Regions from separate parts of the Mus musculus genome. Here all the other regions are reported to be linked to region 3. Evidence: microRNA targets listed by miRTarBase, many of them from high-throughput screens and not tested one by one. Region 3 holds a microRNA gene; each other region holds the end of a gene's coding sequence.

Region 1 (4,003 bases), not on the chromosome of region 3:
TTTCCACAAAGGAGCTTTCCCCTCTTAATTGGGATTCCCACCTCCTTCTAGCCAGGGCCCAGTGGCAGGACGCCCTGCCCATATCCAAAGCACACAGTACTGCAGAGGTAGGGTTAGAATTGGAGGACTTGCAGTAACCCTGAATATGCCTTGCCCTCCCAGCTGGTGGGAACTATTTTTCTGCTCACCCCAGCTGAGAGAGTAAGTCTAGCAGCGCAGCACAGGCTCCCTGTGCCTTGCCAGCTCTGCTTACATGCCTTTGAAGCAAAAGAAAAAAAAAAAAAAAGAATACAGACAGGAGCAAAGAGTAACCCAAGAACACCAAGGATCTGAAGTCCCTTCCAGTTTAGGGCCCTATCACAAGACAATACCAAAAACCTGAAAACCTGGCATTATTGTCAGGGGTGTCTGCTGGACTGCCTGTGGGACCCAGGCTCTCATTATCTTGAAGAGGTGTACCCCCTCTCCCAACGGTACAGTTTGAAAAAAATGGGTGTTACTATGTTTTATTAAAATGGGAAAGGCCAACAGAATAATGTAAATTGTGCCAGCATTTTGAAGGAATGTGTAGAAGATGAGGCCTTGAGGAAGAAACTGTGTCACCTTGACCCCCATGATGACCCTGCCACACTCCTGGGTAACAGAGATTTTGGTGCCCTCAAAGTGAGTCCAATTCTCTTCCTTGTGGATCTCCTACATGGCAGGAGCAGTGGCCCAACATCTGTCCGAAAGCGGCCAATGTTGGACTGAAACTACCCTTGGCAGCAGGCAATCCTTGACACTCTCTGAATTTCTCTTCCTGGGAGAAAAAAAACAAACAAAACAGGACAAAACAATTTTCTTTCAAGCCAAGTAAGTTTGGCTTCACGGACTGCCTTAGATCCGGGTACTTCAGCGCTCCCTTCCCCCGAATCCTGCAGATTTTGATCCTTCCCTTTGCGGATTGGAAGTGGGAGAAACAAAAATAGCATTTAGGGGAAGACATTATCTCTTGAAGACCACAAGTCCTTCCACAGAGCCCAACAGAGAACGCTTGCACCATTTATGGGCAGTGGAGAGGGGTGGGGGAGACCTGTTAGATTTCATCCATTGAGATAGTTCAGTGAGCAGAAACATCATGGTTTAATTCATTTCTTCACCCTCAATTCTGAGCTTACATGTTAAGTTTTCAAAGGTTGCTATTTAAAAGAAACAATATTCTCTTGTTTCTTGTTTCAAGGGTAGGTGCAGCACCTGGGTGCTGGGGAGACCATCTCAGCTACAGACATGGACAAAGTCTACCTTCCATCCCAACATTTTATATTAAAGAGTTATTTCTTTTTATTTAATGTAACTTTCAGGAATTTAAACACACAAAAATTCACAGATTGGAATGGTCACAATTTTGATAACCACAGTTTTAAGTAGGGAACATTCACCCATTTCTCATAAGATTATAAATATTTGATACTGTAAAATGCACATTTTATAAACTTAAAAAAGGACAGATTTGCTTCCTGCTAAAAGGCATGTGTTCCACCGACCCCCAAGCAGCAGATGGTTATTCACAGACTCTTAAATTACAACTTCTGTTTTTATAGCTTCCTTTTCAGAAGGTTGGCACGAATATGTACAAAGAGAAAGTGTTGGCGCAGTGAAATAAAGAGGTTTAAGGCAAAGAGAGAAATCCACCATCGGTCCTCAGCAGGCAGCCTGAGAACACGCTGGCCACTGTGCTGGCCCCAGGTGGATGTTTGGACACCTTTTCCCATACACTAAACAGAAGACATTGTGGAGTTACATATAATGTGTTTTTTGTATATATATATATATATATATATATATATATATATATATATATATACTTGGAAGGATATATTGAATATATTTAATTTACACAGTACCACACCTTCAAAAATAAAATGTATATTTTCTTTAAAAAAAAACAAAAAAGACAAAAACATGATAAGAAATGATTATTTACACATGTCCTCTAGATTCGGGAGGATTCGAGTTCCTTTGAAAGTCAAGGTAGCTGTGAGCTCCAGAACCCCAGCTTCACACAGGCCTGGGGTGTGCGTGCACATGCATACACAAGTATGTACACATACATGTATTTACCATTCAAAAATAAATGAAAAAGAAAAAAGAGGGAAGAAAAAGGAAAGGAAGATGATTCCAACTCGCTCTGCCAGGCCCCAAGGCCTATCTCGGTGAGGGCTTTTGGGTCAGGGCTAGCTGTCCCGGCAGCAAAGCCTTCAAGCCTTCAGGACACACTCCCACTGCTCCCCAGGCCCCAACGCTGGCCACGGTGGCGGGAGAGTTGGCGCTGGCAGGTCGCTACGGGGCTGTGGCGGACAGGGGTCATCGACACAGACGCAGACACACGGTGGCTGCCAGCACGGGCCTCTGAGATGGTTGAGAAGAGAGGCTGCGTAGGAAGCAGGCGGAGAGGTTCCGGGAGAGCTGCTGGCCTGCAAGGACTTTCTCAGACCTCAGCAAAGAACTGCGCCCTCTCTCCCCACCAGAGCTCTCCATCACCACTCTGGCTGGCGCTTCCTACAGTGCTGTCCGAGCCAGCACAAAGCAAGCGGCAGAGCCCACAGACCAAATAGGAGCTATTTATTCGGTTCACAGTCCTGTGAAATGCAGCAATAAAAATCTTTGGACTTCAGCAAGTTGTTTTAAATTTTTTTTCTTTCGGGGGAAGAAGTGTCCAATGTCCCATAATGGAATTTAAGGGATTAAAAAAAGGGAGAAAAGAAAAATGAAAGAAAGATCTGAAACCCTAAACAGTCCCCTTTGCAGAAAAATAATAATAACATAAAATTAGCATAACCTCTGAAACACAAAAAAAAAACTCAAAAATATTTTATAGTCAGATTTTTGGATTTTACACCACCTGTAAATTATATGTACATAGATTATTGTAGAACCATAGCTAATACACTGGATTTTCACAGATAATGCTGGTATAATCTTTATACACTGGCCTTTTGTTCACGGTTTTAAAATTATTGCATTGTTTCTCGCGGCCCTAGACCTGGCCGGCCGGCCGGCCCACCCGCCCTGCTCGCCCTACTCGCTGTCCGACTTGCCCTCCTTGGCCGTGGTGGAATGGTTGTACAGGCCCTGTGCCATGAGGTGCACCGCCAAAGTGTTCTTGTTGCCCGTGGCTTTCTTGATTTTGGCCCGCTTGTTCTGGAACCAAATCTTGATCTGAGACTCGTTCAGGCTGAGCTCCTGTGCCAGACTCTGGCGCCGCTGCTCTGTCAGGTACCTGTTGGTCTGAAACTCAGCCTTGAGCCTCTGGAGCTGCTCAGCAGTGAAGGCTGTGCGAGGCCGCTTGTCCTCTTTGTTAGGGTTCTTCTTCTTTGGTTTTCGGGACCTGGGACCTGGTTGTCATGGAGGAGAAAGGGCAGAGGTTACTGGTTGCTGGAGTCTAGCTACTTATCCACAACCCACGCACCCAAGCTTGAGGTTGCAGATACTGGGGGTGGGGGGGGGGGGATGACCCGCCCAAGGCCATACAAGTGTTGGGCATTGGGGGTGGTGATATAAACTTGAGGCTGGGCATGTGCCCACTGACCAGAAGGAAAGTGGTGTGTGTGTGTGAAAATGAGATGGATTGGCAGATGTAGCTAAAAGGCCTATCACAAACTAGGGGATCCCAATAAAAGCTAGCGGAAGGAATGCCCAGCCAAAATCTTTCTGGCCTCGTTTGCATTTGTTTTCTCCCCTTATCTTTTTCCAAGTCTATCCTAGGGAAAGGGTCGAGAGACAGGTGAGAGGAGATGGAGAAGACTGAAGAAAAGAGTAGGCTAGCCAGTCAAGGGGAATCCCGTCCCCCTTCCTATGTAACCCACAACTACAAGGGGATCCCAAGGGCAGTAGAGTTCCCAGGAGGAGCCAAGGCTGAGGCCTGGTGAGGCCAAGTTTGTTTCCTTGAAGGACTCCAATAGGGTACCCCAGGCTTCACTGAGTCTCTGGCATCTCCCCTTCAGTCTTCCTGTCCAGGAGAGGG
Region 2 (4,003 bases), not on the chromosome of region 3:
CTTCTCTGAGGAGGGTGCTGTTGGTTACAGCTCTGACTCTGAGACCCTAGACCTAGAAGAGGCTGAGGGTGCAGTGGGCTACCAGCCGGAATACTCCAAGTTCTGCCGCATGAGCTATCAGGATCCTTCTCAGCTCTCTTGCCTTCCCTACTTAGAGCATGTGGGCCACAATCATACATACAATATGGCACCCAGTGCCCTTGACTCTGCTGATCTACCACCACCCAGCACCCTCAAGAAAGGTAGCAAGGAAAAGCAGGCTGACTTCCTGGACAAGCAGATGAGCCGAGATGAGCACAGAGCCCGAGCCATGAAGATCCCATTCACCAATGACAAGATCATCAACCTGCCTGTAGAAGAATTCAATGAGCTGCTGTCCAAATACCAGCTGAGCGAGGCCCAGCTCAGCCTCATCCGGGATATCCGGCGCCGGGGCAAAAACAAGATGGCTGCACAGAACTGCCGCAAGCGCAAGTTGGACACCATCCTAAACCTAGAACGTGATGTGGAGGACTTGCAGCGAGATAAGGCCCGATTGCTTCGAGAAAAGGTAGAGTTCCTTCGGTCTCTGCGACAGATGAAGCAGAAGGTCCAAAGCTTATACCAGGAGGTGTTTGGGCGGCTGCGGGATGAGCATGGGAGGCCCTACTCACCCAGTCAGTATGCCCTTCAGTATGCTGGGGATGGCAGTGTCCTCCTCATTCCTCGCACGATGGCTGACCAGCAGGCTCGGCGACAGGAGAGAAAGCCAAAGGACCGGAGGAAGTGAGCCTGGGGAGGCAGGGGGTGGACGCTCACTAAGACCGAAACTGGAGAAGGGCTGGGCCTGGACCTAACATTGGGGACTTAAATGCCTTCTTATCCAATATATCTTCTCAGATGGGATGACTGCGGGTCAGTGCACCGAAGAGGCGGGCGCAGGCGCTGTCTGGCTCAGCTGCCCCCTTGGGGTGGGCAGGGAGGACCAGACTGCTTGGGTGATTGGGGTCCCCAGCCTATTCCCTTTCTCTTGAGGGGAGGGTAGTGTCGGCATGCTGGAAGTAGAGGAGCTGTGTGGAGTGAAGGAGAGAAAGTGTGGGAGATCTCATTGCTGGAAGGAGAAAAGGAAGGAATCCCCCGAAAATCAAAGCAGTCAGAAAAACCAGAGCGACTGTTAAGGGCTTTGGCCAGCTTTCTAGGCAGCGAGTGCAGGTGACAACGGTGGTCTAGGGAGAGTTACTGGTATGGAACACAGACATGGCGGGGCCCCAGAAGGCCTTTGTAACTGTTTCTTCAACTCTTGCATCCCTGAAGGGAAGATGCTCTTGGATGCACCTGTAATATCTTAGTTACTGAATGGGAAGCTGTAGGGGCCGAGGAGGGCAGAGGGTATAGGAAGTGAGAACGAGGCCTGTGTCGCAGCAGCCCAGCATCAAGCATGTCACACACTGCCCTGCCACAGCCACCTCCCTCCCTGGCCATCCCAGAGCCGAGGCTCCCACTGTCCTCAGAGAGCCTGCATGGAAATGCTGTCCTCTTCCACTCTCCTCCTCTTTTTGATACCCACCCTCACTAGCTGCCTCCAGCTCTGGAGTGGGGTGCTATTCTGGCAGTATCTGGAACTTGGCCTACAGCTTCCTCTGCAGGGTCTAAACAGGGAAGGCACGTGTGGAGGAGTGGTCCCAGTGACATCCAGGCACCATTCAGCACAACACTGGGAAGTGATTCTTCCCTCAGGCCCCTCTGCCTACCAACACCTGGGCTCCTCACTGGGGGAAACAAAAGCCTATAAACCCCAGCAACAAAACCTAGTCCTCTTAGACGTTCTTGCGCTTTGATTTTTTTAGGGCGTGTGCCCTGTTACACTTATAGGGCCTAGGATGCTTGTGTTGAGTAAAAAGGAGATGCCCCAATATTCAAAGCTGCTAAATGTTCTCTTTGCCATAAAGACTCCGTGTTAACTGTGTAAACACTTGGGATTTTTCTCCTATGTCCCGAGGTCTGGTCTTGATTTCTTTTTTGGGTTTCTTTCTAGGAAAATGAGAAGTGCATGCAAGGGGCAGGAGATGACCCTCCCCTAGGCTTTCAGCTTCAGGCAGCTTCTTCACAGCCTGTTCAGCCTGGGCTCCTGGAGGACAGCCCTGGGGGAGGCAGTGAGGGGCAGCGCCAAGATAGCCAGGTGGTTGGTTCCAGGACCACAGTGTCTTTTTTTTGTTGTTGGTTTTTTGTTGTTGTTGTTTGTTTGTTTGTTTTTTAACTGCCACTGCCGCCCCCTGACCCCCAATCTTGGTCAGCTCTGGAGTACTGCCTGCCCCAGACGAGCAGGGGTTGGGGGGGAGCACTGATCCTCCTCCCTGGGCAGGGCAGAGGGCTTTCCTAACCGAGCAGTAGGGATAGAAAGCGTGAGCCTGGGAGTGCTTTTTATAAATTATTTTCCTTGTAGATTTTATTTTTAATTTATCTCTGTGACCTGCCAGGGAGAGGAGAGAAAGAAATGCTGTGAGCACATGACAAAATAAAATCAAATAAAATGGATGATTCAGCTTAAGTGCACTTTCTCCCCCCTCTCCCTTCTGAATTCAGATGAGAGTCACGGAAGCTGGGAGACTGGCCATTGTGTGCTTAGGTGGGAAGGCGGGGAGCACTGACAAAAGAACTCTGCAGTGAAGCCCATGCCATCTCTTCCTGCTGGATCAGGGGAGCCTTCTCAGAGGCTTGACTGTCGGTGCTGTGCTGGAGAGGCACAGAGCACTGCTGGACTGCAGTCATGGCCTGGAAATGGGACCTGTTAGCCGTGAAGTGCGCCATGCTACAGATGTCCTGTGTGTTGAGAACTCACACTGCCTGCTTCAACTTAACATCCTCAATTTCTAGGTAGGAAGGGCTGGCCTTTGCCTCTGGGCTGCTGCTTGCAGAAATTAGGCCTTTAAGAGGGCTGGTGCCATTTACCCACTCACCTAAGACAGTAGGGAGAGGTGGTAGCACCTTCCGAATAATCAGGCCTTAGTTTTGACCTACACACCTCTGCAGCAGGACCTTGGGTCTGACATGGGGGGAAGCGCCCTTTGTCTTGGTTCATCAGTCCCTAAACTTCACTCAAAAGATTTTTCTGTCTTACTCTTTAAGAGACTGGTTGTCTAACTTTACCACATGGGTCTCACCAGTGAAGTAGTTTATTTCAATTTCCAGGAAAAGAAACTACCCACTGTGAATAGTGGATACACACCTATAATCCCCCAACCGGGCTGCTGAGGTAGTTGGGTTGCAAGTTTGAGACTATCCAGGTTGTAAAGTGAAAACTGGTTAGGGGATCCACATACAGTTATTATCTGGTGGTTGCCTCTCTACCACTCTTCCCAGCAAGGCAAGGAAACAATTTTTTTTATATATTGTATGGATACCTTGTCTACATGTATGTCTGTGTACCACATTGTGTGCTGGTGCCCACAAAGGCCAGGAAAGGCAATGAATCCCTTAGAAGGGTTATGAGTCACCACGTGGATCGAACACAAATCCTCCACAACAGCAGCAAGTACTAATTTTTTGTTTATTCAAGGCAGAGTTTCTCTGTGTAAGTATGGAACTTGCTGTGTAGGCCAGACTTCGCCTGAACTTAGGTCTTCATGTTTCTGCCTCCCAAGTGCTGAGATTAAAAGCTTGTGCCACTATGACCTAGCTAACAGCAAGTGCTCTTAACCCCCCCAGACATCTTTCCAGTCACAGATGTAGCCCAAGATGACCTCCACCTCTTCTCTTAGTCCCTGAAGTTCTAGGATTCCAGGTGCATGTTACCTGACCAGGTGTGGAAATTCCTCAGCAGAATCCTACATCCTACTGTCAAGAGTAGGCGTGCTCTCCCTGTTATTGATCCCTGTGGTTAAGTGAGTCCCTACATACTGACCTGTCATTTTTGTCAATATGCGGTGATGAGCCAGCACCTTTTAACCACTTTCCTCCCTCACACATTGCACACTTGCCTGTGGGTTTGACTTTGCTGTTGAGTGCAGAAATCCTGTGGGCTCCA
Region 3 (4,003 bases):
ATAGGATTTATACCCTAATATGTCATAGGTTGCAAATTAAATTTCAGATTGTTTCCTCAGTTAACCAATAAAAAGGTCAGCTATTCTAAGGATTCTTCTAAATTTAAGTTTAAAAATTCAACGTACACATTTTAGTGTTATTCTCCTTCATTTAAAATGAAATATTTAGGCACATTATACTCAAGATTATGTTATAATCTGTAGCATTTCAAACTTTATCTGTATCTAAAGAAAACTTCAAATCAAGAGAAAAGTATTTTTCTATTATAAGTAATAATATGAGTTTAAATTCATGTACAATTTGGTACTTCCTAAACTCTTTCAAATAAACTTTTATATGGAAATGCTGGAAAGAGAGCTCGAGCCTTGGTGGTACTGGGTATATTCTGTACCACTGTAGCTCTCAAGAAACTCTGGAAAGGTGTTCAAGACTTAAAAATACTTGTTATATTATTAGTCAGTGCTCCATCTGTGGATCCAACCAACCACACATTCAAAACATTTGGGTGGCCAGGCATTGGGGCCTACAGTTTTAAACAAAGAATTTGGGAGGCGGAGGCAAGAGGATCTCAGTGAGTTTCATGGCAGCCTGGTCTACATGGTGAGACCCAGGCTCAAAAGACCAAACCAAAAAACTTATTTCTTGGACAAAAACTGCATTAGTACTGAATTGTACAGTTTTTTTCTCATCATTAAGAGAATAACTTGAATAATACAACTATCCATGTTAACATCCCACTGCACTACACATTAAAAACAATGTAGAGATAAGTTTAAATAAGTATAAGGGAGGATATGCACTGGTCACGAGCAGACATTTTATACAGGAGATCCAAGCATTTACAAATCTGGGTATCTAGAAGTCCTATAATCAGTTCCTCACACAGAAGTCATTATGTTTTGTTTGTTTTTAAAAGACAGATCCTTACATAGGTCTTAGACTTGCTTTATGGCCAAGGATGATGTTAAGCCTCTAATTCTCTTTTTTCCACTTCCTCAGATCTAGGATTACAAGTGTACCTGGTATGCAGTGGTAAGGCTAAAACCCATGGCCTTGTGCATGCTAGCAAGAAGCACTTGGCCAACTGAGCTGCATTACCATCCCACAATTATATAGTATTTTAACAGACACAATATGTAGAGCGTTGTTACTAACATCATTACAGAATCATACCAAACATAAAATCACTAATGCAATTAGAAAAACCGTGTAAACACACAAGTAACATCAATACACATTGAATTACAGTTGTAGAGTATTGCCAACCTTACTTCAGCAGCACAGTCAATACTGGAGGTAATTTCAGAATCTTAACGCCAATATTTACGTGCTGCTAAGGCACCGCTGACATTGCTATCATAGGAGCTATGAATAAAAAGACAGGTACTCTCTTCAGAAGATCAGGTCCTTGTATTTTGAGGCAGCACAGTATGGCCTGCACCTTTTCAACATCCACAAACCATTATGTGCTGCTACTTTACTCCAAGGGTTGGTTTTGAAAACTCCTAGCACCTCAATAGTAATTTACAGAAAAGGCTTTTTAGGAAAAAGTAGAACACATAAAATCTATGTTTGAAAAAAATCTAACACTGGTATGTGCATAATTTTATAGGCTTTCAGCAGAATAAAAAGTATTTCCATATCATAAGTTTAATAAAAGCGTACAGAAAACTTAATACAGTGCTGTAATTTATTGTAGTCATGAAACGAGAAAAGCAAGTCATTTTCCCATACCAACTTAAGAACCTCATTTATTAAACTAACAACTTTTGAATGTGCTTAACACATGAAATAGCTACAAAAGTTGGTTTTTACCTTATTAAGAGCAGCACATCTTTCAAAGCCAAATCCATAGGACAAAGCTTCATGTTAAAGGAAACATGTAAGAACAAACATGTAAGAGCTCAGTTTCAAGAAATTTATACTAGCAAAATATTTAGAAGACATACACATGAAACATATTCCCCAAAAATATATAACCCCCAATCTACACATGAACACAAGATTTATCTCAATATTGGAATAGTTATTGTGAGTTCAGTGTCATTTATTATTACCCAGAACATCATCTTAGGATAACAGGTCTATTTGGTTTCCTAAAAGGATATATCAGAAATCCTGTAGCTCAAGCCTAAGTAACCATTTGTGTGTTTCCCAGTTAAAAAGGCTAGTCCTTTAAAGGAGTATCATTTTATACCACAGGACTTTGACTTAGCTGAAACAAAATTTTTACTACGTTAAGTTCCAACTTCATTTTATGTGTGTGTGAATATCTAGGTTTTCTTACACTATTAAGAAGACTCTTTTCTGTTTAGTGGGGGACTTAGCCATCCCTTCACAAAGAACTGTTCTTATTATTCCAGTTCATACCAGATTTTCCATTCAAACTAGATTACTGTGTAGCAAATGTTTTCTAGTGGGTCAATGCCATTTCTCCATTCCCGTTCATGTTGGGTCATTTGAAATATCAAAACGTCTTTAAATCTTCAAACCTTTGCTTTCAAGTGTGCCAGCTTAAAAAAAAAAAGTCTGAAAATAAAGATAAAAGCTGCTAAAAGTGATTTTGTCCTTTATCTTTATACAATGATTATAATTTCAAATTCAGTGGTTTTTTGAGAGAGGTTTTGAGGACAGTGGCTGCTGTCCTGCAATTCATTCTATAGACCAGGCTGGACTGGAACTCAGAGATCTATCTGCCTGGTTTCCCTCCTGCATGCTAGGATTAAAGGCGTGCACCATCATGCCCCGTTCCAAATTCAGTGGTTTATATTCTGGCCTAAGGACCAAAATAATTTTTCTTTGTTGGGTTTTTACATAGTTCAACTTTTTACTAATGTTCTTAAAAGGAAAAAAAAGCCATTCTGAAAAGAAAACAAAATGTTTTGCTTAAGAAGGTAACTTGAGTGTACATAGGAATACATGGCAATCTTTAAATACCTGAAATTAATATTATTCGTATAAGAAAACAGAATTTTACAACAATTTAAGAAGATAGATCAAACCAAATTGTCCTATTTCCCCCTTCAACTCTATTTGTTTCCATTAATATTTTTCTTTAGAAACATTTACTTTTTACCTTATAAAACTTCTAATATTAATTCATCTTGTTTCCATAAAGCTTAGCACTTCACAAACATTTATAGGCATGTTGCCCAAGCTATATCATCATCTTGACTGCATCAGAATAATGGGATACTTTTTGAATTTAATAATAAGCAACCAGTAATTTGTTGGAGCACAATGACAGAATACAGAATCTGAGGTCCGAACCCTGACACTGTCCTTTGAGTGTCTCCCATGGCTGTTATTCTAGTACACTGACCCTTTCTGGTTCCCTATCTGCAAATGAACCATTAACATACATATAAGCCTTTGTAGGACGCTTCTGAACCATAGCCATCTTATGAAGTTGTCTAAGAACATGGAGAAAACACTACCAGGTTTAAGTTCTGATGACAGAGCAACAATTCTCAGGGCACAAAAAATCTACTTAAATAGCAAAGCTAAAGGCATGAAATACTGCAACAAATTTGGGAAGTTAAAAGCTGGGTATGTTAATATCTTTGATGTGGCAATAATGCCACTATAAAATCTTTGGAACTGTTTCTTCTCTAAACATTTTAAATTCCTAGTTCTAAAATTTGATATGTGAAAAGTGACAGAATCATTTGTAGGGCATACTACTAAATAGTTAAAAATTCCATTTCCATGTGATTTTTTTCTAGGAAAATGAGCTTATGTAACATATTTGAAAAAGAAATTGTTCTAACAACAACAACAACAACAACAACAACAACAACAACAACAACAACATACCCAAATTTTATTTAATGGCTATGAAAGGAAAACTAAACTGATTGTTTAGGCCAAGTCAGGTATGGTGATCACTGACAACTGAATATGTATTTCAATTTGCTCATTTTTTACATGGAAATTTTTGAAATTCAAGTTGCAAGGCTGCAGAGTTACTCAGTGGTTAAGAGCATTTTGTTGCTGTAAAAG
Region 4 (4,003 bases), not on the chromosome of region 3:
AAAACCAAATGAGCTATCTCATAAAGGATATGTAGCGCCGGTAGTGATCAGTAAGCCAGGGGCTGGAGAGGTGCTGTTGAGGACCGGGTTTCAGTTTTAACTTTTAACCCAGAAACCTGATGCCCTCTTCTACCCTTTGGTACAGAGGCATCCATGCAGGCAAAACAGCCATAGGCATAAAGGATTAAATATAGATTTTTAAACCCAGCACTCAGGAGGCAGAGGCAGGTGGATCTCTGAGTTCAAGGCCAGCCTGGTCTACAGAGTGAGTTCCAGGACAGCTCCAGGGATACACAGAGAAACCCTGTCTTAAAAGGAAGGAAAAAAATTAACGTCTAAGGAAATGGGGCTGTTTTGTCTAACCTCTAAAGGCAAAAACCAAAATAAACTAGAGCCATACCAATTCTGCGGGCTGAGGACACAGAGAGACCTAGACAGCCCCAGAGGTTATTTGTATCTGGTCTAGGGCAGCTGGCAGTACTGGGCTGAGAGAAAGAGCCCTTCATGGTAGTGCAGTCAGGGCCACACGGAGTAGGGGGTCTGTGAATGGTAGAGTGTGTGGGCTGTGGGAAGGGGCAGAGCAGCGCTGTCCTGGGAATGAGGCCCACCTCTGGGGGGCTTCATCTGTGGGATGGCCTAGCCTACCTCTCTCCCTTCAGCAGGAAGCTCTCCGTTTCTTGGTTTCGTTGGGAAATACAATGTACAGTCTAAACTTAGGCAAGGGAAGGAGGTGGGAAGGAAGGCGGGCACCCCTGGGCTTCCCAAGGAGGGGAGGGCAGCACAGGAAAAGGGGAGGGCAGCTCCTTTTCCCAGCTCCTGAGTTGTCTAGGCCCTGACAGGGGGAATGACATCCTGGGTCCCCTCCTACTTCCACTTCAGACAGTAGGGCTTAGCTGCTTTGCTTGCTGAAATGCAGATGCCCAGGCTGTGAGCAGGGATGGAGGGAGGGCTAGAGAGCGCACGGACAAGCACAGAGGCAGGCTACAGACCATGGTGGCTCCAGATCAGGAAGTTTTATTGCTGACATGCAGGAAGAGTCCCCATGTAGTACAAAAATACGTCTTTATACAAACTTTTTTGTGACTTTTTCCATTTTGTTTTTTTTGTTTTTGTTTTTGTTTTTTTGTTTTTGTTTTTCTTTACAACAGGACTTCTCAGTGCCTGACAGCAGCGAGGGCCCCACCCTCCCCTCATCTGCACCACCAGAAATACCACCAGACCCAGGTTGCCCTCAGAAGGAACCAGGCTGGCTGATGGCATGGCAGACCTGAAGGTATTGCTTTAAAAGGAGGGAATCAGGCCTGAGGCATCAGGCCTGAAGGGCTAGGCAGGGGCTCTGCCCAGGAGGGCCCTAGCCAGGCCTCAGAGCCTCACTGGAGGGTAGTCATGGGCTAAGGGCCCAGGCTGACTGCATTTCCACTCCCTTCGGAGACTTATCGCTATCAAATAAATATAGAAAAGAGCCCTCCCCCGCAGCACCATGCCCTGACTCTCAGTGGCTGGGCGGCTGAACTAGAGGCAGAGCTGAGTGCCAGGGGAGTTAACTGCTGGGCTCAAGTGGGCTCCACAGACCCAGCAAAACAGAGGCACAGGAGCCCAGGGCTGGATATGGGGCATGGGGAGGAAGGGGCATGGGCAGCCCTGCTACTGCTGGCAAGAGGTGGCCCCATTTTTTCCAGATGGGGAAACTGAGGCACAAGGAGGTTTGGGGACTTGCCCAAGGTCACTCACAGTGAGTCAGCTTTTCAGGGGGTGAGGGGCAGCTCACACTCTAGGAAACATGGTCTCCCCATTGGAGAGCAAGAGGCAGGAGGGGTCTAGGACTACCTACCAGGAGGGTGACATTGCCCTCTCTGAGGGTACACAGGAGGTAGGCCTCCGGAGTTGGGTCTTTGCTTGGTTTTGGGTGTGCCAAGTCCAGTGCAGGGAGGGGCATTCTGGAGAGAACAGCGTTTCTGGCAAGACGGGCATCCACTTCAAAATTTCGGCTCAAAAAGGGTAGCAGGGCTGTTCTCAAGCCAGGAAGGTAGGAAGGTCCCCACCCCTACAGATTTCCCTCCAAGGCCTACCCCCAAGTAGGTAATCTTCCAGAGTCTTCTGGAAGAGGCACCACTTCTGCGGTGAGGTGAGGTTCTCTGAGCACAAGTGGCCTGTCCTCAGTAGGCCCAGAGCATCCTCTGGTGGCCACAGGTCCCTTCACACTATGTCCACATTTACCTGGGTACCACATGAAAGATGGAGGAGGCGGGACTAATGCAAACGAGCAGCACCTCAGAGAAGCTGCCAGGACAGAGAGAGAGACAGGTCTGGAAACAGAGCGAGAGAGGAACTGGCAAGAGGGCTCCTAGGTGCCTGGGGTGAGAAGGGAGCCTACACACACGGGCCCTGCTATTCAGCCAGGCTCAGGGCCAGAGTGGCCAAGGGCTGAACCTAGAGATACAAGTTGGGTTCAGTAAAAAAATAAATAGATTTGACTTGGGCGGCAGGTGAGGTGAGAGTGTTCCAAAGCTTAGACTGAGGGCAGGCCCCCGGGGACGGGGAGTGGACGGTGGGAAGGGGTGCTTACTGGGGGCCAGCAGCGAGCTGCATGGTCAGCTTATATGGACTGTGGGGTCAGTGGCCTAGCCAGGCTGCAGCTGTCCAGTGCCTGGGTTGTGAGCGTAGACTCCCCTCTTCCCTCCTGACACTCAGTCCAGAGACAGCGTGGTTAAAGAGACAGAGGTAGATTAAAATGTCATGATTAAAAGCAGATTAGCTATCTATCTAGAATTCTCAGATAAAAAAACAATCAAGCAATCATCCCAAAAGGTAGCTCTGTGGTACCTCTGTTGACCCTGGCTGTGACCTGGGCTGTCCCTATCCCTGCCCTATCCCTACTGCAGCCTGGGAGAATCAGTCCAGCACTGCTGGGCCCGGGCCCAGGCAGGCCCGATGGCTGGGCCTCAGGTGGGCCGAGAAGAGGTGTGCTGGGCTAGTGCCCTAGCTGAGGGCACTATTTCCGCAGATAGCGTTGTGCCAGGATGGCTGTGTCCAAGGAGGTCATTGGCTGTGCGTCGTGGCCTAGCCGTCGGACCGGTGGCATGCTACCGAATTGCCGCTTGGGCACCCAGGCCCGGGCCTCATGGATGGAACTCTTCTCTTCAGCCAGCAGCAGTTGCTGTCGCATGTAGTTCTCAAACTCGTATTGGGAGCACTCCTCTGTCACCTTTGCCTGTGAGGGGAGAGAGCAAGGTGAAGACAGCAAGCACTCGGGGAGCCCAGCACAGTGTGGCTGCTGAGGTCATGTTTCCCGGGTACCACAGTTCAAGCGCCATCTTCCTACAGGCTGAGTGGGGGGCCCTGCTGGCTGATGTGAGTGGCTGCCGGAAGCTCTAGCTACACACAACCCTTTCCTCTGGCCTTCTAGGCTGCATAGCATCCTCCCCATAGTGGGGTGCGTGTGTGTGGTGGTGGGGCGTATGAGGTAAGGGTAGAGCACGTGTGTACGAGGGGGAGGGTGCAGCGGTGTGTGCATGTGAGTAGAGTGGCAGTGAAGGGTGTCTCCTCACAAAGGGTCTCTGGAACTCTGAGGGGCTGACACGTGTGGGGGTTAGGCAGGCGATGGAAGACTCCAGCGGCAGGTCCTGACTAGTGGGAAGGCAGGATTTTGGAATCAAGGCACAATTCCCCTGCTGCCACACTGTGTGACCGTGGACACATCAGTGTACTTCTCCGATCCTCAGGTAAAAATAGGACCCACGTGCCCTAGGGTGGACTGAATGGGAACCGGGTGGGCTTCCACTCACAGCTCTTCCTGGTCCTACTCGGCCAGTGCTCCCAGGGAAGGCCCAGCTTCCCTCTCGGGGCACCCTGAAACCTGTCACAGCTGCTGCCTAAGCACTCATGTCTCTGTGCCCACCCCTCGCCCAGCACTTTCTCTACTGTGGAACAGGGAGGAGAGAGAAGAGGGATAAATGAATCATGTAAAAACTGAAAAGCAGGAAGGGTGAGAGAGAACCCAGTG

What was found. The annotated mature microRNA mmu-miR-15a-5p reads UAGCAGCACAUAAUGGUUUGUG and lies in region 3 at 1,455-1,476, opposite strand. An mRNA with a match to its seed (bases 2 to 7 or 8) in the 3' UTR can be bound and repressed. Matches are read on the target gene's strand: a 7mer-m8 pairs with bases 2 to 8, a 7mer-A1 pairs with bases 2 to 7 and ends in A, and an 8mer does both.
Region 1: miRTarBase lists En2 as a target of mmu-miR-15a-5p. Seed matches in the 3' UTR shown: 7mer-m8 at 1,529-1,535.
Region 2: the mRNA of Nfe2l1 is a reported target of mmu-miR-15a-5p. Seed matches in the 3' UTR shown: 7mer-A1 at 1,901-1,907.
Region 4: the mRNA of Stk40 is a reported target of mmu-miR-15a-5p. Seed matches in the 3' UTR shown: 7mer-m8 at 2,263-2,269.

The regions. Positions count from the first base shown.
Region 1 is chr5:28,169,490-28,173,492 of GRCm38, reverse strand. En2 (engrailed 2) reads right to left here. Exons shown (of 2, transcript NM_010134.4): 2 at 1,303-3,374. The coding sequence ends at 3,058. Among named protein-coding and RNA genes, the nearest start is that of Gm52808, 3.5 kb to the left of the region's middle.
Region 2 is chr11:96,815,942-96,819,944 of GRCm38, reverse strand. Nfe2l1 (nuclear factor, erythroid derived 2,-like 1) reads left to right here. Exons shown (of 5, transcript NM_008686.3): 5 at 1-2,531. The coding sequence ends at 769. Among named protein-coding and RNA genes, the nearest start is that of Nfe2l1, 12 kb to the left of the region's middle.
Region 3 is chr14:61,630,621-61,634,623 of GRCm38, forward strand. It overlaps Mir15a (microRNA 15a), which reads right to left and starts at 1,490; the gene lies at 1,407-1,490. Dleu2 (deleted in lymphocytic leukemia, 2) reads right to left here. Exons shown (of 7, transcript NR_028264.1): 4 at 1,817-1,863. Mir16-1 (microRNA 16-1) reads right to left here and starts at 1,352; the gene lies at 1,260-1,352.
Region 4 is chr4:126,138,018-126,142,020 of GRCm38, reverse strand. Stk40 (serine/threonine kinase 40) reads right to left here. Exons shown (of 11, transcript NM_028800.3): 11 at 992-3,211. The coding sequence ends at 2,993. Among named protein-coding and RNA genes, the nearest start is that of Eva1b, 8.0 kb to the left of the region's middle.